Linked DNA regions of Drosophila melanogaster. The protein of the gene in region 2 purifies or fractionates together with the protein of the main gene of each other region. This does not show direct contact. Each region holds a gene or a part of one and is shown on either strand. Other genes may lie near its edges. The genes, in order: Trs33, SIDL and brun.

Region 1 (3,949 bases), 140 kb from region 2:
CAGGCGTTTTAAGAGCTTGCTGAGATTCTCCCGGGCTGTCGTTGCTCTAGCCGCACTAATACTTATTGCAGTCCGATAAGCCTCTATAGCCTCCTGCGTCTTGTCCCAGCGATGATAGAGAACTCCGAGATTCGTGTGGTACAATGTGTTGTGGGGCTCCAGCTCAATAACGCGCTTGTAGATCGCCTCCGCCTCCGTATAATGTTTTAATTTGCCAAGCACGTTTGCTCGAATGAAAAGGATACTGACATCGTTGGGTAGATGTTGGAGAGCCTGATTAGAGATGCGCAAGGCGTCATCCTGCAACCCCTTGTTGTCCAGCATTGTCAGAATGTTAGCCCAGGCTTTTGGCTGGCGGGGATTTAGTGCCACAGCATGCTGCCAATGATGAAGCGCTTCGGCGTAACGTTTCTGCTCCAGATACAGATTGCCCATGTTGTAGTAGCAGACGGCGAAATTGGCTCTGTACTTCAGGGCCTTCTCATAGCTGGCCAGAGCCTTGTCGTACTTTCCCTGAGCCGACTGCACAATGCCGAGATTCATCCAAGCCGCTGGAAATGCGGGATACGCCTGCAAAGCCAATCGAATGTATTCCTCGGCGGTGGATAGTTGACCGTGCTCCCGATACAGGTTGCCGAGGTTCATAAGAGCTGACTCATAGTTCGGATACAATTCAATGGCCCTGTGGTAGTGCTGAAAGGCTTTCGTATTGTTTCCCATATCAGTGGCCAGTCGGGCTATGTTATAGTGTACCTTGGCATTGTCAGGACACACCTGTAGCGCGGACTTGAACAACTGCTCCTCGTTAAGCCAGTCAGTAGCTCGCTGCCGAGTCCGTACCATCATAACCGAAAAGAGCAGCATTAAAAGAATCCGTAGAGCAGTGCGCCAGTGGGTGTTTTCCGTACTGCTGTCATACCAATATAAGAATCCATAGATGGACAGCAGGCAAAAGCCAATGGAGGGTACATAGAGCGTCCGTTCGGCAATCACGAATCCTACGCAAATGATTCCCGACGCGGGCAGGAACGGGACGATCATTAAACCCAGAGCTAACATCATTCCGGGCAGCCGTCGGAAGTTCATCAGAGCCACCAATACGATGGAGTAGAATCCGATGACGCCCTGCAGTCTCAGATCCCAGATGTTGGTCACCAACTTGACGCAACCCAATGCCCAGTCGTAGCATAGCCAGTGGGGGCACAGCATCAGCCAGATGTTCATGACCAGCAGATACTGCTGGGAGAGCCCACGGGTCAGCACGTGCTCATTGTGCGCAACGGGGTTGTCAACTTCCTTGAAGGTAGGCGTCTCAAAGTCCTGCCACCAAAGGCGAGCCGTCAGCAGACCCAAGGTACCCAGCAAGTAGAACAAGTAGCTGATCCGGGTGCGCAAAAGACTCCACTGATCCTTGAATCGCAGATGATAGTAGCCGTTTTGAAAGTAATCCAATAGTACACACGACATGGGGATGGTCACAGCGGACTCCTTGAACAGCATTCCCACAGCGGTGAGCAGCATGATTAGACCGCCAGTCTGTGGACCAAGTCTTCCGGTATTGGCCACGGTCAGCAGAAGACACAACAAGTGAATCATGCCGAACATGAGCTCGGCCCTTCCAACCACACCAGAAACCGCCTCTGTGTGAATTGGATGGGCGGCAAATAGAGCAGCGGAGAGGATGGCCCATCTTGCCGTGCTGACCTCCGGAACATAGAGAGAGCGAATCAATCGCCACATGAGCAGCGTGTTGACGCAGTGTAGCAGGAGGTTTAGGAACTTCATGTGGGCGGCACTTAGCCCCAGAAGGGCATACTCGCAATGGAACATCAGGGTGGTCAGTGGCCGAAATGATTTGTGGGAATCGGAACTGAGCAAGGAAGCACCCCAGAAGTCGTGCGTGAAGATCGCCGTCCAGTTGGTGGGCAGTGAGTTGACATCCCGGTTCTTGACGATGGCCACCGTATCATCGAAGACAAACTTCGCTCCACTGAGGCCACCGCATCCGTAGCATAGCAAACAGATTAACACTAGGATTGCCTGACAGACCATGCTATGCAGCGTGGCTTTGTGAACGAGGTCTAGCATACTGGATTATTTACTAATTGTCAATTGTTCAAGTTTAATTCACTTATTCTGCGAATTTTAATCGGAATTGTTTTGTATACATTTTTTGTTGTGTTTTTGTCCAAACACCCCCTCACTGAATAGTGATGCCAGATCAGCGATAGAAATGTGTGCAGCTTAGCTAAATATATGCATCGAAAAATATATGGTTATAAAATGATTTGAAATTACGCTAAATAGATCTATCAAATCTGCTCATTTTAGAGTATTCATATTAAAATAATTATACATACTCTTGATATTAAAGTATAAATAATAGTAATAACAATAAACCACTAAAAGCAAACAAGACATTCGCCCGTTAACGCTTGCAACAGCTGTTTAAATCTAGATCAAAACAAATCCGAGGAAAAATTTGTTGAACTCACAAAGAAAAATTAAATCCTCGAAAATGTCTGAAGAAATCCTTTTCGATTGCCTCCATGCAGAGATAGTCAATTATTGTCTGGATAGCAATAAGGTAGGAACACGAGGGACGCAAAAAAAAATCAGTCATACAACCGATTTTGATTTGGTTCCGCCTATTAGGAGCACGACCTGGCCACTTTGGAGTATATAGGCTTCACCACCGGCTACCGCCTGATTGAGCGGCTCACCCGTGAAGTTTCGCGTTTTAAGGACGAGTTGGAGACTATGAAGTTTATATGCACCGACTTCTGGATGCTTATATACAAGAAGCAAGTGGACAACCTGAGGACGAACAACCACGGAATGTACGTTGTGCAGGACAAGGCTTTCCGCTTTCTGACTCGCATCTCGCCGGGCACCAAGCAGCTGGAGCACGCGCCCAAGTTCGTGGCCTTCACGTGCGGGCTGGTGCGAGGAGCTCTCAGCAATCTAGGCATTAACAGCACCGTGACGGCCGAAGTGCAAAGCATACCCGCCTGCAAGTTTCACATAGAAGTGAACAGGAACTAATTAGGATGTAAGGCAATGGTTTATTACTACAATTATAGAGATACTACAGACTAGACTAGGCTATCTTTTCGTAGAATGCCACAATGTTGTGGTCAGTCCAGTTAAGGCGTTCTCGCAGGATCCACTGGTCGATGGGCAGTTGGGGCTGGGCGGGATTGGGATCTGTGTGGATTCCCAGGGCGGGCAATGGTCCAATCAATATAAGCCACTTTCCTTGATACACATTTAGATAGTCCAGAAAAGCTCCTCGATTGTTGAAGTAGCAGAAGAGCAAGGCACACGGATGAACGTCACTGCAGCATTTGGTCAATAAATCCGTATCCAGTTGGCTGGCATCCTCTAAATAGTTAAGCGGTATAAAACTTCGAACGGAGTACTTGCTCTGCCACCAGTTGCGATCGACCTCCAAGCCAAACATGGGGACTTTCCGACCTCCAGACACTGTCATAAGCCATTCCAAAAGCCCACTGCCGCAGCCGATGCTCAAAACTCGCTGGATGTCGTGCATGGCTAGCAGCTGATTAAAGTAGTCCAAGTCCACCGATGTCGGCCACATCCAGAGCAGCTTGCGCTTGAGCTGTTGGTCCAGGCAGTCGCCCAGGACAAGCAACTTGCGCCAGTTGCACGACGCATCATCAGTTAGGTAATAAATTTCACGCAGTGTCTCGAGTTCCGATTGCTCGTCCATCATATTGAATACTGTTAGTTGCAAATTAAGCGGTCTTGCTGCTTCCGATGGCCGGTGAACTTGGCAGTGACGCCGGCACGCGGAAATATGGCTAGCGGCCAACAAGATTGCTGCGGTTCGCTTCGGTTCGCAGCACCTGACTGATCTCTAATAAATTAGAGGACCCCTTTGAAAAAGGGCCAACTCATTAGAGATCATATCGTCACTTTGTGTTTT
Region 2 (7,098 bases):
CGGAAGAGAAAGGCTTCCAGGATGGATTTGCTTTTGCGCACCTGCCGTCGGGCTAGCTGTTGTTTGGGAAGATTAGGCGCAGCCTCGGGATTTCCTATCTGATGTCCTTGATCCGCCATGAGATAGGCCAGGTGACGACGACGATGGGTATCGATTACCGTCTGGCTAAGTGATCCGCCCACCTCCAGGGCTTGGCGAAAGAGCACTTCGACATCAGTGACCTCGCCGGGAATGTCGGACAGTGAATTGAAAATCTGTGCTGAGTTCTCGAGATGCTTTAGATCTTGCTCCTTCACCTTGAGCATGCCCAGAGTCAACTGGAACAGCACGATGGAGCCCTCGTAAAAGAACCAGTCCCAGATACGCACAAGAATCTTCATATGCACCACGTTGGCAAAAAGCGTGAGGAACCAATGCAGCGTGATTAAAGACAGCTCGATGTCGTGCTTACGCAAGGACTCGTCCACGCTGCTCAGGTAGTTGGCAATAAGCGTGTGCATCACGCGTTGGTCGGCTTGAATTCCCAGAAGAGTTGAGCTGTAGTAGGAAGCTGGCAGCAGATCCTCTACAATGGTGGCCATCATCCAAAAGGCGTTCTCCTCCTCCATGAAGAGAAGCAGACAGGCAACGATCACTCCGGTGCCCTGACAGTAGCCAATGTCAGGAAAAAGCCACGCGATGCCCCTCAGAATGCGGCGCAATCGGGGAATGCCTGTCCCATTCGGATTGCTAAAGCAGGCATTTGTTGGCAGGATGCGCAAAAGGTCCTTCTCGATCTGCTTCGAAGTCATCAGCTGGTCATTGCTAGAAGCTATCAAATTAGGTGTATATTAATAATGTATTTATAACCTTTCTTGTCGCGTTCGATCTACCTTTAACTATATCGTGGTAGCTGGTCTCGCTCTTTTGCTTCTTGGCCAACGCTCCTGATAGACGCATCCACATCTGGGCACGCAACGTGTGCGGGATACCCTGACGGACCATATTGCGCAGCTTTTCTGTGCGTGGGAGCATTACATCCACATGCTCCCAGCTCAGCTCGGCAGCCTCCTTGTTGTGTGAGAACTCCAGGTGGGCGATCCACTGCAATCGCTGCTGCGCGTCCTCTACAAAGGGTATGCTCAGCAATTTGTTGGAGCTCTGCTCCGGACCGTCCTCCTCCTCCACCCGGAAGCCAAATTCGTCAAAACGGTACTCCGGCTGGTCGTTTGGGCCGGAAGCCAATTCCGCGCCACCGCCCAGCTTGGCTAGGATTTCCTGTGGCCACATGGAGGCGGTAAGAGCGGAGAATGGCCCACCGGGATTTGGTCGCAGGCCATCGGCCACACTTAGTTCCTCCATCATAGGCGGCAGCTCTCCCAGATCGTCTTCCGAGCCCAGGTTCTGCAGTTTGCGCTGTTGGCAGTGGAACGATAAATATTAATTACCATGATAAGCAATCTTTTCTGGTCAATTTAGACGCACCGTATGCTCTTCACGGCCCACGTAACCCTCATGGTCGCGGCCAAAAATGCTCCTGGCCATGTCCATGCTGGGGCTGGCTAATTTCCAGTCGAGACCTGGCCGCGCATTCAGTGAAAGTTTCTCTTAAGTGTCTCTTTGTGGCGTGTGAAAAACAAATATTATTTCTTCATTGTTTCGTTTTCAATTAGCTACCGAATCTGATTTCACTATCAGCTGTTCGATAGGCGACTGTGGGTGGTATCGATTTTTAGCCAAGCCATAAAAAACTGAGGTGTGGTGCAAAAGGGATATACCCCTCATATACCCCTTAACAAATTTAAGTGAAAACATTTTTTGTTAATATTTTTTAATAAAAGAAGGCTTTCTCTACCAATTAAAAACCATTTAGTTTGGTTCATCTAACCATATTTTATTCTGCATATCCTTCTACTTTTTCTCTACGCCCTTGACCAGGGCTGCTGAAAGCACACCTGTTGAGCGAATAGTTAAAGCTGCTTAATTAGATTATTAATTTCTTGTATTAGGCTAGCATTTAATGGTTCATTGCATTAGGAATTAAAATATTTTTTAAATTGGTCAACCGATTATTGATAGCAACGAACAATCGATTCCCCCGCCCTCGCCTTATCAGCTGTTTGGTTGAGATTGTTGTGTGGCTTTCGTTTGCCAAATGAAAAACATACGAAATTTACAAAAACAATGCAGATAAAGCCCATAATAACATGTGAGTTGTAAAAAATTAACACAATAAATCCCATATCAAACCTTTACTTACAGACTCTGGCTCGTGCCCGCTGTTCCGATCGCTGGAGTCCCAGATCCTGAACGCGATTCCACTGGACACTTGCGAGTGGCGACGCACTTTCCAACGCCCCACGAAACATGTTCGCTTGGAAGCCCAGGCACAGCAGTTCAATGTTGCGGCCTTGGAGAAGTACAAGCAGGGTGACTGGAGCATCTTGGAGCACCCCATACTGCACATTTTCGTCACCGAGTGCAATGTGAGTTAACTGATCCTGTAGGAATCTCTAAATCCACCTCCATTAACTATCTTTCAGGATGTGGACACCTACAAAGCCACGATCAGGGAGGCAATCGACATTTGGTTAAAAACATTAACCAGTTATGGCGTCTCGGATTGGATGATTCTGTTGGTCGAAACACTGGACATGCGGAAGACAAAGAACTTCATGCCACGCACCACTGTGCTAGATAAGATACGGTTGGATTTTGGCACGAAGAACGACGACCGCTGCATCTCAGTTCTGAACCCGGCCAAGTTTGAACAGAAATCCACCGAGTCCTTCCGCTGCCTAGTGCAGCGTATTCGCTTCCTTATGCTCACCAGCTACAATCGGAACATAGTTAAGTACGAGGAACTAATACGGAGCAAGCGCGAAAAGAGAAACATTGAAGGCTGGGATTTCCGCCAATACTTCTTTATGCAGGAAGACCTTGCGTTGATCTTTGAAAAGCTGGAATTGCCCACCGAGGCGTTGATACAGTACGATGAACTGGACGCCATGTTCTCGCAGTTCATAACTCACACTGGTCTCAACGAGAAGCAGCAGTGGTTGAACCATTTTCGCAAGCCCCTGGACGCTTTCCATGGTATATGTCTGACCCGAGCGGACAAGTTCGAAATGAGGAACAAAATCCGCGATGAAGGCGTTTCTCTGTTGGAATTCCGCAACTATCTTTTCGAACGTCAAGCCTATTTGCTGCTTACTTGCAATGACATCCCAGAAATCGCGAAGAGGCTTCTGAACTTTTTGTTTTCCACACTGCGCGAGGTGGAGCTCATAAAGCTGGAGTGTCAGGAGGGCGCTCTTTGCTGTTGGGAGTTTGTTTGTGCTCTGGAAGTCCTGCAGCTGTGCGAACAGGCTATGGAACCCAACGAGCTAACATGTTTCCAGCACTGTGCTCCCATCTGGAACTTGGCCAAGGATAAGCTCTACGAGCTCGGCAAACTGTGTGGCCTCTTGCCCGGCTGCACGCCAACTTCGGAGCAGTTGCACATAGTGGTGCAGCTATCGTCGGGAATTGGAGATGCGCCGTCCGAGCAGCATCAGTTCCTCCAGGCGACACCTCAGCTACGAGACCGGTCTCCCAATCGTAAGCCCAAGAAATCGGGGGCTGAGCAGCTTAAGGAAGCCCTGGGCTCGAATCAAGCCTTCCAGAAGCTCTACCTGGAGCTGGCAGAGTTGGCCATCAGTACGTACAAGCATGTGACACGCTTGCGATCGGCCCGTTTGGTTGGCCTGGACCTGGGAAACTTCTACTGCGCTCTAAATGAGCCACATAAAGCTGTTGGATTCTTTACGGATCTTCTCAGGGAGCTGAAGGCAGAGAACTGGCACATGCTGAGCTCGCAGACGCTGCTTGAACTAGCTAACTGCTACCGCAAGATGGGCGACTCGCTGGCCTACACCAAGACATGTAGCTCCATCTCGTGTTGCGCAGAACTAGAGACCTTAGTGCGAACATTTTATTTCGACGAGTTTCTCAAGTCACTGAAAACACTTAAGACGACGCTTTCGGCACAGCCGTCGATAGAGAATGCCAACTATTGTGTACTGGAGGATCACTTTCGCATTCTGGACATCGAGGTTGTTAACCAGAAACCTATTATACAGGATGATTATATTCTAGTGCAGCTAAAAGTAGAAAGTCTCTATCCGCGCGGGGTCGTAGCTGAAAATGTTAAGCTTTGTTACGAATTGGAAGCTTCCTCTCTGGAGCTGGCCATGGAGAATGTCAGCCTAACTGCCTCCCCGTCGACGGTAAAGGCCAAGGACACCTCATCACGATTAAAGGTCTCGCTTCAGCTAGTCTACAAACAGGACAATCGCCTGCACTCTGCCGCTGTGGCCTGCGACTTGCCAAAAAGCAAGCAACCCGTGCGACGAACAAGCAGCACCAAGCGCAAACTTTCACCAAGTGTCCAGGCGGACTTCACCAATTTTGTTCAAGCGGAAAACATTGCCCTTCAGCCGGGCGTAAACCTAATTGAGATGAAGGCAAAGGCCACTCGAGTGGGCTGCTGGCAATTCAAACAGGTGGGTGATCACGTTGCATCAGTTTTCTTGGCCTATCTTCAATCGTTTTTGTTTTTAAGCTATGTATTAGCATGTCCAGCCTGGAGTTCTTGTCGGAACAGCTGCCATTTATGCCTGCCACCTTTGAGATTAGCACCAAGCCGGCAAGTGCCACGCTGGAATTCAAGACTCTGATAGCTGGCATAGTGCAGCCGATTAGCCTAAATGTCTCCGGTGGCAGTTTCATCTTTCCGCCCGATGCAAAAATCACACTGCGTTGCTCCAAGAATCTTCGCATTCGACAGGCGCGAAATACGGATGATGAAGCAGCCTATAATGATGACCAATCATTTGAGAGTACGCTTCAAGTGCCACTAGTGCAATTCAAATCGTTCGAGGAACGTAGGATCCCACTGGAGGTTCTCACTGATATGCCGGGCCGAAAGGTGTCTAAACACCATGAGCATCACATCGCCCTCAATTGTCCATGGTCTCGAACTGAGCTCCCAATCGCCGTCGATTTTCAACCAGCCATGGAGGCCACTTGCCGGCTTCACACGTGTGGCACTCAGAAGTTCCTGCAGGTGATCATGAAGGGCATGGAAGCACATCTCCTTTTGCAGCACGCTCAAGTCAAGTGCGATGTGCCCGGTGTGCAATTGTTGGATCTTAATCCGGAATCCCAGCAGCCCATTGTAACTAAATAGCAATGTAATTTAATATCTAAAATTGCTGATCTCCTGAGCTCGTCTTCTAGGAAATCTACAAATCCCTGACTGTAACTTATCTGTACGAGATTCAAGTTGAGCCCCTCAAAACGGAGCACGAGCTGCCCGTCGTAAAAGTGCATTTTGTAATCAAATACGCATCACTGTCGCAGCCTGATGTGTGGAGAACGTATGGCTGCGCTTTTGATCTGGTGGACTACACAACGCTCTTTAAGTTGCAGGCGCAGCTGGAACCCAATGAACTGTGCCGTCTGCGCACCGTGTGCAACATGAACTTGAAGATCACCAAGGTGCATGAGAATCCCTACACGGATCTCATGTACGAGGTGCTCAACGATCAGAATCTGTGGGCCGTTTGCGGTCGCTCAGCGGGTAAGTTGGATTCTCTTTACTACTCTCTCTCTTTCTTTGCTTATGATTTAATTCTGTTTCTCTACACACGATTCACTTTTGCATTTTAAGATATGGGTAAGTTCCTTGGAATAGGACACACGTAGCACTAACTAGATTTGCCCTTGCTTTTGATTGGAAACATTTAACACTGAAAAAGAAAATTGGCTTACTTCGATGAACCAACAGTCTGTACTTGTTGACTAACTAATTTTTACTTAACCTTTTAGGTGTCGTATCCATGAAGGACGTCGACAGTCATTCCATATCGCTGGATGTAATGCCGCTGAGCACCGGCTTTCTACCAATGCCCAGCATTCGATTATCCAAGTATACTGCCGGTGGCAAAAGTAAAACCGATGGCCACTCCAAGGTGCATCCCTTTCCGCCCGGTCAAGTCTACAACTCCACGAAGAGCATGCAGATCCATGTCATCGCAAGTGTGGCGGGGGATCAATGAGAAGCCAAACGAATTAATTGCAATGTACTCATAGCACATATGGCCCATGGCCAAGTATTATTAATTATTTATCGCCCTACTATAAAGTAGTAAAAATTGAAAATCAAATCAAGTTAAGATTTTTTTGCCCTCAGATCCGCGGCCAATTTGGCCAGTTGTTGCTCCTCCACGCGGTAGTAGTGCCAGCCCTCTTTATCTGTCAAATCCACGGCACCAAGACTTTCGTAGAACTTGCGTGCAGGATTCCATTCCAGTACATTAAACTCCAGGCGAGGGCACTGAAGCTCTACAGCCCGCGATGCAACCTCCAAGAAGATTCGCTTTCCGGCGCCGCGTTTACGGTGCTCGGGGCGGACATAGATGTCCTCGACGAAGAAGTACCGTCCCTGCCACGTTGAGTATGCCTTGTAGCAAATGGAGTACCCAATCGCCTGACTAGAATAGGAGAACAAGCCCACAAGTTAATCAGGTCATGCCAAGAACTACAGCACTTACTCAGTATCGTTGTCTACAAGCACATAGACTTCACAATACTCCTGGCCACCAGTGAGTCCTGCGTCTCGTTTAAGATCTGTCATATTACAATCCATTACTTTACCATTATTTCATTACTATGGTAAGGGTTTCGCCATCTCTTACCTTCCTCTGTTAGCTGGGGACCATTGCTCATCTTCTCAAAGTCAGCCAGTTCCTGCAGATCAATTCAAAAGTATCTCAAATTGGTATTAAAATAGGAATCTTATAAAACTCAACTTGAATCATGGAGAGCACATCTTTAATATCTTCAGCTAGAGCACGCCGGAATGTAAACTCTCCGGATTTCGACATAGTGGGAAATCTTTATAACCTGTGTTTTTCTGATTATGGTCAAAAGAGCTTATCTTTTGTCGAAACAATTCTAATCTATAGAGATGAGCCGAACTCTCGTGATCACAATTTAATATAACTCAATATCGATTGGGAAAAGAATTATTTGTTGTTAATAAGTAAAAAAATTAGATGAAACAAGAATAAGCCC
Region 3 (8,854 bases), on a different chromosome or scaffold from region 2:
AGGATCAATTTCGACGGCCGTTATTCTAGCTTGCCTGAAAGGAAAATTGCAATTAAAAAAGAGTATAGTAGTTAAACTGAGTAAGACCTACGGCAAAGCGGCGTGAAGAAAGCTGCACAGACCGCCGCCTCCCAAGCCGACGACGAGAACATCCTTTTCCACATCTCTTTTGGGATGCTGCACCGTTGTGGCCAGTTGGACACCCACGGACATGTACAAATGATGCTGGCAGGCTAGGTAGCCGAAGTCAATCTTCTTTCGATCCTTTTTGCCTTTGATTTTGACTACAACATAATTTGTGCTTGAACAAAACGGCAAAATGATAGTAAGATATATTTACCTGTTTTAACTAAGGCTTCCGATTGCACAACAAACTGATTGCTGAGAAAAATAAGGCGTCGCAGGGTCTTGCCATTGGCCTCCACTTCCTCGATGCGGAAATCTCCAGATATCTTAGAGAACCCACAAATAAGAGTCTCCCTTTTGCCCACATCGGATCCAAGACTTAGATACGGTATCTGATCAGTGAGTCCAGCTGGCGATAGGTTCTTTATGCTGTCGGCCAACTCTTGCTTCACTTCGTCTAAGGTACTGTAAACCTGATCTCTATGAAGGGTAACCACAGCCAGTCGTTGGAAGTTGGCGGAGTCCTGGAGCTTTTTCCGGCCCGCAGGCGTGGAAAAAATCCACTCCACCTCTCTTCCCTGAGGAACGATAAACGCCGCGTATTTGCCCAGGCCGCGAGCTGGCGGCTTATCCAGTATGTGGATAGTATAGCGAGGGGTTTGCTCAGATGGTCGGTGCAGATCCATGATCACCTCATTGTGACCAGCTATGTTGGATCTGGCTAGACCGTTGCAAACCAAAGCGGCCTTTTGGACTGATGAAACTGCGCTATTCAGTTCGGAGACCGTGGTGAATCTTTGCATCTTGTCGTTGCCGAAACCAAATTCGAGTACCTACAAGTAAATCAAATTGTAATCTGAATGCAAAAAGTTAATTGCCTAGGGGTCTACTCACTGGCATTGGAAGGCTCTTAAATTTAGTAGCGACGACTACGAAAACAGGCAGCGTCAAGGCATCATCGGCATTCTTCTCTTTGTTGGCCTGTTCCACCCCCAAGCAGTGAACAATCCTCAGCATGCAATTGTGCTTGGGCAGGAAGTCCAGTAGGAAATTGAGGATGTGCTCTTGCAGCAGGGAGATACCCACATAGCGACCACCGTTCCTGATGCATAAATAGAGACATTGAATACCTTCGATCTGGGACTGTGCACATTACCCACCTCATGGTTCTTAGTATTTCCTTGAAATAGTTTTCCACCACCGCTCTCGTTTCAGGTTCGTCGTCGGCAAACAGAGCATCCAGCGTTCCCTTGTCCAACGACACCGAAAAGCTTTCATCCGGGAACGTCATTGCTGTCGCGTCCATTTGCAGAAACTTCATTTCCGGCCGCGATTTGGCATTCAGTTCCAGCATTTTCTTCACAGCGATGGGAGATATATCTATGTTTGTGATATCCCTAAGGGGAAAATGTAAAATACCAAGGGAAAGTTATTTATAGGGCCAAGATCAAGATCTAATACATATTGGAAAGGAATGTTATATGTAAGGAGGAGGCGCATGCTACTTATACATAAAGCTTATTACAGAAGATTCCTTACCGAAATCCTGTGTCGTACATATCCATGCTCAATTTGGAGTTACCGCATCCCAGCATCAAAATCCTATCCGCCGGCTTGATGTATTTGTGGATCTGGTCGCACAACTCCAGGTATTCGCCGTACCTTCGCAGTTAAAGCAACTTTTAGTTGGCCAAGAAAACACATGTTGCTCGGAGTTCTTCCCTTCCCCAAGAAGTCTGCTCGAGCTTAGTGGGTACCATTTACGTACCATTCGAAGGCCTTCTCACCGCGCTTCTTGAAGAATTCGTTCCAGTAATCGGTCTGTGCGAACTCCTCGCGGGTTTTGGGCAGTAAATTCATGGTTTCAACAACTACAAAAAGGATGCAAAATATAAACAATAAAGCGGCAAAATGTGATTGTACGGGGCATTGCCATTCTAGTGGATGGTCCCTCAGCAGTGTGGCCGGAGCCAAAAAGTATCGATAAGTTAGAGGCGGATCATTTGCAAAATATTCAATAGCTTATTTCGCTAAATGTAATACTAAAAGTAATACAATTAAAGTTTTTTTAAGTAGCACTATAAGAAACTTGGTTTTCCATTTTATATTTGTACAAATATTTTATCTGATTGTCAACACCATCGATTAGATTAGTGTGACCTTTCTGCCGTCAATCTGTGCGATGTGCCATTCACAGCGACTAGTCGACAGGCACTGATTGGACAATTTCTTTGCCAAAGCAAACGGCTAAACGATTATCTGCGCTTAAAAAGCCATTTAGTCATTTATTTCCTGGGGTTTTCGACTTCCTCCGAGTACCCGGCATCGGTACCCATGTGAAGGAGTGCAGCGGATTCGGAAACAGCCGAGAAACCAGGCAAAAAGCGTGGTGAAAGCAGGCGCTGACTGACCTCGAAAAGGGGGAGGAGGTGGCTCCTCTGAAGAAATCGAATCCAATCGAGAGCTTATCCACTTGACAGCGGTATGGAACGCCTGTGAAGAACTTGGCAGATGCAAAGGAAACTGGCGCTCGCATCCTCCGGACTGGGACAGGGATTGGATTTGAGAGCCGCGGCGCGGTGTAAATGCGTGCGGCCGTTGGCCTGATGCTGTCGCACGGTGCTGGTGGCATGGAGCCAGCGTTGTCACGCCCAGACTACGAGCAGAGCGCCCTGCACCACAGCTGCCTGCTGGTGCTGCTCCGCGGCGTGGGTCCATCGCGCGCTCGCGTCCTTCAGCGGGCGTTTGAGAAAGTGCGACGTGTCAATCACATCCGGGTCAATGGTGTGTGTTGCTCCAGCTCTCTTGCTATCTTTTTGATTACAAATAATTCAATCTGCCTTACAGACTCCTCTGGACATCCCCGCTCTATTTGGATCCGCTTCGTTCACGATCATCCTGTGGAGCACAACGATTGGGGCGACTTTCAGACCCATCGCCGACTGCTGGGACTTGTCACCATTGGCAAATTCGATAGCCAAATCGAGCTCAATGAGCTGTGCCGTCAGCACGAGTCCTTAAAAGTTCGCTACGGGTCTACTCTGTACGAGTCCCGTGCAATTTTCTTTGGGCCCGATGAGCAGCCACTGGAAACCATTGGGGAGGTGCTGGGACCACCGGCAGCTGGTGGACGACGCCTTCAAGATGAATTCACAACGCCATCGAACTTCAAAGCGCAGGCCTTTTTCTATCGCGAACAGGATTCGTGTGCCGATCTCGAATCTCGAATTGGGGACTTTGCTAGCGCGTTGTTTTGGGTCCTGGAATCACGACGGTTAGAGCGATCTCGCGAGAAGGCGGACAAGGTGAGCCTGTTGCTGGCACCCTTTGAAAAGCGAGACTTTGTGGGCCTGGACATGGAGTCGAGGAACAATAGGAAAAGATGCGTGGGTCGTGTGATGAAGAACCTGGCAGATCTATCGCTGCAAGCTGGCCTGGTTGACGACGCCTTGAGTCTGTACCACAATGCCAATGAGACTTTGAGGTCGGTAGGTGATTCCCTTTGGGTTGGGGCAACCGAAGAGGGCTTGTGTGCCGCTTCCGCAATGCTGTTGTATCCCCAAATGCGAGAAACCGAAACGCTGCATAGAAACTCGTCGCTTCAGGAGGCGGGTGAGTACCAAAAACCTAATTGAATATGCCTTACTTATTCCTCATCCTTGCCAGGCACCTCTCCCCTAAAAAACACCCCTGAAAAGTGGCGTGCTAGCGACGCCACCAAGAAGATTAGCGCCAGTGACGCGACCGCGAACAATGTGGATTCCAACCAGCCTCAGCAGCGCGTAACCTCGAACTCATCTTCCTGCTCATCCGTGTCTTCCCTGGTGACAACGGCCACCAATTCCTCCGCCTCGGACACGCCAACTACATCATCTTCCTCCACTTCGACGATATCGGCAGCACCGATACCAGGACACCAGAGGAACGGCGATCTGCCGGGCAACATCCTCAAGGCGGAGGAGATCAGCAACTACTATCGCAAGGCCATCATTAACTACAGCAAGTACAGGCATGCAGCCACTATAGAGACGGAGGCGGCACTGAAGGCCTCGCGGATTTGCATCGAGCAGAATCGTCCCCTGGACGTGGCCATGTTTTTGCAGAATATACTCTACATAAACCTGAGCATGAGCGAAGCCGAGCGGGTAAAGAGATTCGAGGTCATTACGGATCTTTACCAGCAGATCGGATACCAAAGGAAGGCGGCATTTTTCCAAAGACTCGCTGCACTCAAGCACGTTCAGCAGGGCAGCCAAGCGCCGGACTGGAACCAAAGTTACCGCCTCATGTTGGGCAGTTTTACGGGGTACCGGCTTTGTCTCGACCCCTTGGAAGTAATAGAAAATGCCGCCGGCTGGCCGGCGTTGCAAATCGATCTGGTCCAGACCCTTATAACTGCCGCCAGGCGTTTGGGACACTCCGCTTTGGCCACGCGGCACATGACCTTTTTGCTGCAGACTCAGTGGGACAACATGTCGCCAACGGAGCAAAGCGAGATGGCTGTGCAACTGCAGGTAAGTTATCAAAATAAGATGCTAATTCATTCACACTAAAATCGGTACATTTTCTAAAGAATTTAAGCGCTCAGTGCGAGGGCTCTCCTGTGCCCTTGGTGCTGGAAAATGGCACTGTGATACCACCCGCCAATCTCACGGATCTGCCCTACTGTATCGATCTTCAGGTTAAAGATTTGCCCGCTCATTTGCGACCGCAAAGAATAAAGGTGGCCAAAGCGGACAGTGGGCCTTTCCTATTCACCCCCATACACTTTAATTCTGTCGACAGGAGGGATAAGAAAAAGGACAAAAATAAAATAGGTAAGATTTGGGGTTAAAATCTCTGCATACGTACATAACTAATTTTTATATTAGCTTTCCAGTGGGTGCAAAATGATCTTAGTGAAGTGACTGTGCGCCTGCGGAATCCCCTGCCCTTTGAGCTGCCCGTAACGGACATGAGATTGCTAACAAACGGCGTGGTGTTTGAGTCTTTGCCCCAGACTCTTGTACTACAGCCACATGTGCCCACGTATGTGGCGCTACATGGAACGCCAATTGAGACGGGGCAACTCGATCTGCAGGGCTACAGCACGCACACGCTCGGTGTGAAGTCCAACTGTCGGCTGAAGCACATGCGTGGTCGTAGCTTTCCGCCCAACTACGTGGTTGATGTTATCCCCGCCCTTCCTAGGATATCTGTGAAAACTTCGCTACCACAGACGGCGACGTTTAGCAACATGAACAGTGCGGATATCGTTGTGACCTCTGCCAGCTTAACGCTGTACAACGGAGAATCCTCCAGCTGCACAATAACTATTACCAATGAGAGCGCCACGCTGCCACTGGAGCACCTAGAGTTTAGCATCAACTCAAATGTGGAGCAGGAGCTGCAGCAGAAGATCTTCCGAATAGATGAAGAAGCCATCAAGGTAAGATTTATGATCTTATATTGAGTAAATGAATAATCAATGATTTTCCTTTGCAGGCCCATTTGCCAGTGCCTCCCCAGGGCACCATTGAAATCATAGTGGATGTTTTTGCCGAAGCGGACTTCGTTTGTCCTCAACCACCTGCTTCATTGCATTCTGCCGCTGCTCCTGGGGACTACGGTGCGTCGTCACTAACGCACTACTCGAGCGTGTCCACCTCTGGGCACGCCAGCTTACCCTCGAGAGTCGGTTCACCGCATCATCGTCGAAATGAGCCACAGAATTCCAGTTTCCGGTCGACCATTTCTGGCGGTCCACCATCGCTGGCTGCCTTAACCCTGCACCCTGGCGGCGGTGGAGGAGTAGGACCTTCCAGCCTTGGGTCACAATATAACCAGCACATAGAGGCGCAAGTTAGATTTAAGTACTCGGGCGGAGATGCTTTGACGGCGGGCTACTGTCGCCAATGTGCGGTGTCCTTTAATCTAGAACTTTTGCCTAGCGTACAGATTACAAGCTGGGATGTGCTTCCCGCAGAGGTGTAAGTGCAATCTTCTCGTTTTTCAAAGTAACTCCTTCTAACATTGTATATCAAATTTACAGAGCCTCCCAATTTTACCTGGTACTTGACATCTCCAACCTAACCGCTCAAGAGATGTCGCTCAACTATACGGACACCAAGAATATACTCATCGAGGCCAAAGAGAGCTGCCGAGTGCCCATACCCGTGGATCGGTGCTCCTTGGAGAAAGTGGTGGCTGCTCGGGCGGCCGAGGTAGCTGAGAATCTGGAGAGGGGTATGATGAATCCCGCTTAATATGAGCTCATTCACTATTTGTGCTTATCTTTTTACTAGAACTCTGCTTCCGGACGCAGCTGCTGTCGTTTAACGATGCTCTGAGTAAGCTCTGCTCAATTCATATAGCTGAAAGGGTGAAAATCAAGTGGCTGTTAACGGGGACGGACATTCAGGGAATCGCCTCACTGCGAGGAATAGTTCTCTCCCAGTCTATGGTGGATTTGACAGCTGTGTCGCCTTTGGAGTGGGGTGTGTTTGTTTAGAATCTTCCTTACCGACTTTGTAATGACAATTGTATTACACCTTTAGCTATCAGCTTTCAAGACACGCTCGTGCAGCCACACAATGAGATTGTATGCACGGTGGGACAGCGGTCGCTGCTAAGCATCCAGCTGGCCAATCAATCCCTGCAACCACTTAGAAATCTGGTGCTGAGCATTAAGTTCTATCAGGATTACCTGAACGGAATGGAAAATTACAATTTGGAGACACGCGTGGCCATTTCAGGACCAAATAGGTGAGAGCTGAAGAAAAATATTGAAACGAAGCAGTTAAATATTTAGACAATATCAACCCTCTTAGAATTGCAATACCACTACTGGAGAAGCAGGAGCAGAAAGAGCATACTTGCTCTGTGATATTCTTTACCCCCGGACGTTTCAAGGCCAGCATCGAATGCACCAGCAATCCGCAGAAGCAGTCGGAGCAGCCGTCGTCATTGCTAACCCGCTCCTGTCCGGCAGAAGCGGAGAGTGTCGGCCAATCGGTCATGTTCTCCTCCAGCTACGATGAGCAGCAGGCGCATGTGTGGAAGTTCATTCCGCCCATCGAGGTGACCGTCGTGGAGCAGTGAAATGTTACCTGTCGCTAGTTTAATTTCGTTACAATGTTTGTGTATGTATTGTGTATACACCCCATACTAATCCCCTACTCTTGTTAAAGTATTTGATTCCCACGCGCCCTGTTATATCCGTAAACACGAAAAGCAATTGTTTGTAAAGAATTCTTACCTACATAGATACAACATGTAACGCATAACACTGTATATAATTAAGCTGAAACACAAAGTTATACTGTGCCCCAAGCTTGATAGAGAAAATGGCCATAACATAAATCATATAACCTATAGTTCATGCCTGTAAAACATATACATATTTAAGCAAGCGATGCGCTATTTAAATAGATAGCCAATGTTCCGCGCACTAGAAGCCACGCCAAGCATTATACATTTTGATAACGAAGCTCGTGTTTAAAAAATATTTTTATACAATTACCGGGGCAATACACATGTATCATAATGAACTACATATTAAGATTGTTGCTAAAGAAATTATGCCAATGAAATGTGTGAATAACTGTAGTGTAAAAGCAATAAACTCTATTTGACGAAACATTTGGTGTCTTTGGTTTCTCCTTTTCAGCCGAGTCTTCGTATCTCGTCCATGGTGAATCCGTTGCGGTTGAGCATTATGCAGAAGAGCACGTACACATAGTAGCTTCCCGGGATGAAGGTCAGTGCCCCGATGATACCCAACGCCCACACCCGATCCGATCGCTCCCGGCTCGTGTCCGTCACCCAGTTTAAGGTGGCAAAGGCGATGCAAACCTGAAGACAAAGACATCAGATCAGAAGTTCGAAGGAACTGTGCATGTATGTGTGGGCACCAGTAATCACTACTCACAATGCCACCGATAAACAGCAAAAGAATGATAATAATGGTCTTCCAAGGCACTGGACCTGGCATCGCCGGTTCCGTCCACTGTTCATTAACGAATCCATCGGTCTCGCATTGGGACTCCACCACCTTGATGTACTCTCCGGAGCCTGCTGGCGCGGAACTCCTGCCCCCTCCATTTAGGCGGTGCCGCGACTCCGAATTGGTGGGCTCCATATGTGGTCTCTACCTACTGGCAGTTGATCTTGACCAGATGCCAATTTCAGACTAAACAAACAAGCATTTTGCGGCAAGTCAATGTTATCAGGAAAACAGCTGACGAGACTGCCAACCTGGGGAAAATCAGCAAGCACAGTAGAGACCAAATAAAACGAAACATACACATATCGCATAATAACACATCCTTAAATATTTAACTTTTTAATTTGGAAAGCTTTCTTGCATGCCTGAACTAATCAAATGAATTCGAATTTTTAATTTTTCATCGCACCGGTAATTTGGAAAACACAGAGAATGCATAAAATTATTTAGCCATCCTTGATGGTTGTTTCTGAGCACCAATCTGCCACACGTTCGTTGTCGGGATCCAGATCAAATCCGTCGTGGTCCAGCTGGCTGGGAACAAATCCGGAGATCCAGGTCCACTTCATTCGCCTGCCCAAGAACGTCTTGAAGTTTCGGCGCAGTTTTCGGTCAAAAGGAATGTTTTGAAGTTCAAAATCATAGCAAAAATAGCCACGAGACCACTGATCATAAGCCACATAGGTAGCTACGCATACCCCGATCCACAGCAGGACGAATACCAGAGTGAACACCAGCTCGTAT

The links.
Region 1: the proteins of SIDL (region 2) and Trs33 purify together in Drosophila melanogaster (affinity purification with western blotting, with the first as the bait; one study listed by BioGRID). This does not show direct contact.
Region 3: the proteins of SIDL (region 2) and brun purify together in Drosophila melanogaster (affinity purification with western blotting; one study listed by BioGRID). This does not show direct contact.

What each region holds. Positions count from the first base shown.
Region 1 is NT_033777.3:15,349,490-15,353,438, reverse strand, and holds Trs33 (TRAPP subunit 33), read left to right. Parts: upstream 1-2,443; 5' UTR 2,444-2,518; coding exon 2,519-2,587; intron 2,588-2,655; coding exon 2,656-3,045; 3' UTR 3,046-3,094; downstream 3,095-3,949. Other genes in the region: Tmtc4 (transmembrane O-mannosyltransferase targeting cadherins 4), read right to left, coding at 1-2,088; CG42727 (uncharacterized protein), read right to left, coding at 3,101-3,736; CG42726 (uncharacterized protein), read right to left, coding at 3,936-3,949.
Region 2 is NT_033777.3:15,213,843-15,220,940, reverse strand, and holds SIDL (shal interactor of Di-Leucine motif), read left to right. Parts: upstream 1-2,066; 5' UTR 2,067-2,163; coding exon 2,164-2,188; intron 2,189-2,241; coding exon 2,242-2,465; intron 2,466-2,522; coding exon 2,523-4,523; intron 4,524-4,582; coding exon 4,583-5,197; intron 5,198-5,259; coding exon 5,260-5,602; intron 5,603-5,850; coding exon 5,851-6,080; 3' UTR 6,081-6,179; downstream 6,180-7,098. Other genes in the region: CG12241 (uncharacterized protein), read right to left, coding at 1-811, 873-1,395, 1,465-1,530; CG4210 (uncharacterized protein), read right to left, coding at 6,194-6,515, 6,576-6,651, 6,720-6,771, 6,834-6,908. UniProt on the Drosophila melanogaster protein: May play a role in vesicular transport from endoplasmic reticulum to Golgi. Has a role in one of the several mechanisms underlying dendritic localization of Shal channels.
Region 3 is NT_033779.5:20,649,642-20,658,495, reverse strand, and holds brun (brunelleschi), read left to right. Parts: upstream 1-2,317; 5' UTR 2,318-2,711; coding exon 2,712-2,910; intron 2,911-2,973; coding exon 2,974-3,738; intron 3,739-3,792; coding exon 3,793-4,640; intron 4,641-4,699; coding exon 4,700-4,943; intron 4,944-4,997; coding exon 4,998-5,554; intron 5,555-5,610; coding exon 5,611-6,095; intron 6,096-6,157; coding exon 6,158-6,351; intron 6,352-6,410; coding exon 6,411-6,602; intron 6,603-6,662; coding exon 6,663-6,870; intron 6,871-6,935; coding exon 6,936-7,206; 3' UTR 7,207-7,741; downstream 7,742-8,854. Other genes in the region: CG2614 (uncharacterized protein), read right to left, coding at 1-34, 92-284, 341-959, 1,021-1,228, 1,287-1,523, 1,666-1,788, 1,895-1,986; CG2611 (uncharacterized protein), read right to left, coding at 7,771-7,959, 8,036-8,245; CG18810 (uncharacterized protein), read right to left, coding at 8,557-8,854. UniProt on the Drosophila melanogaster protein: Cooperates with Rab11 and fwd/PI4K to mediate the flow of membrane through the Golgi, which is required to support cleavage furrow ingression, therefore promoting cytokinesis in male meiotic cells.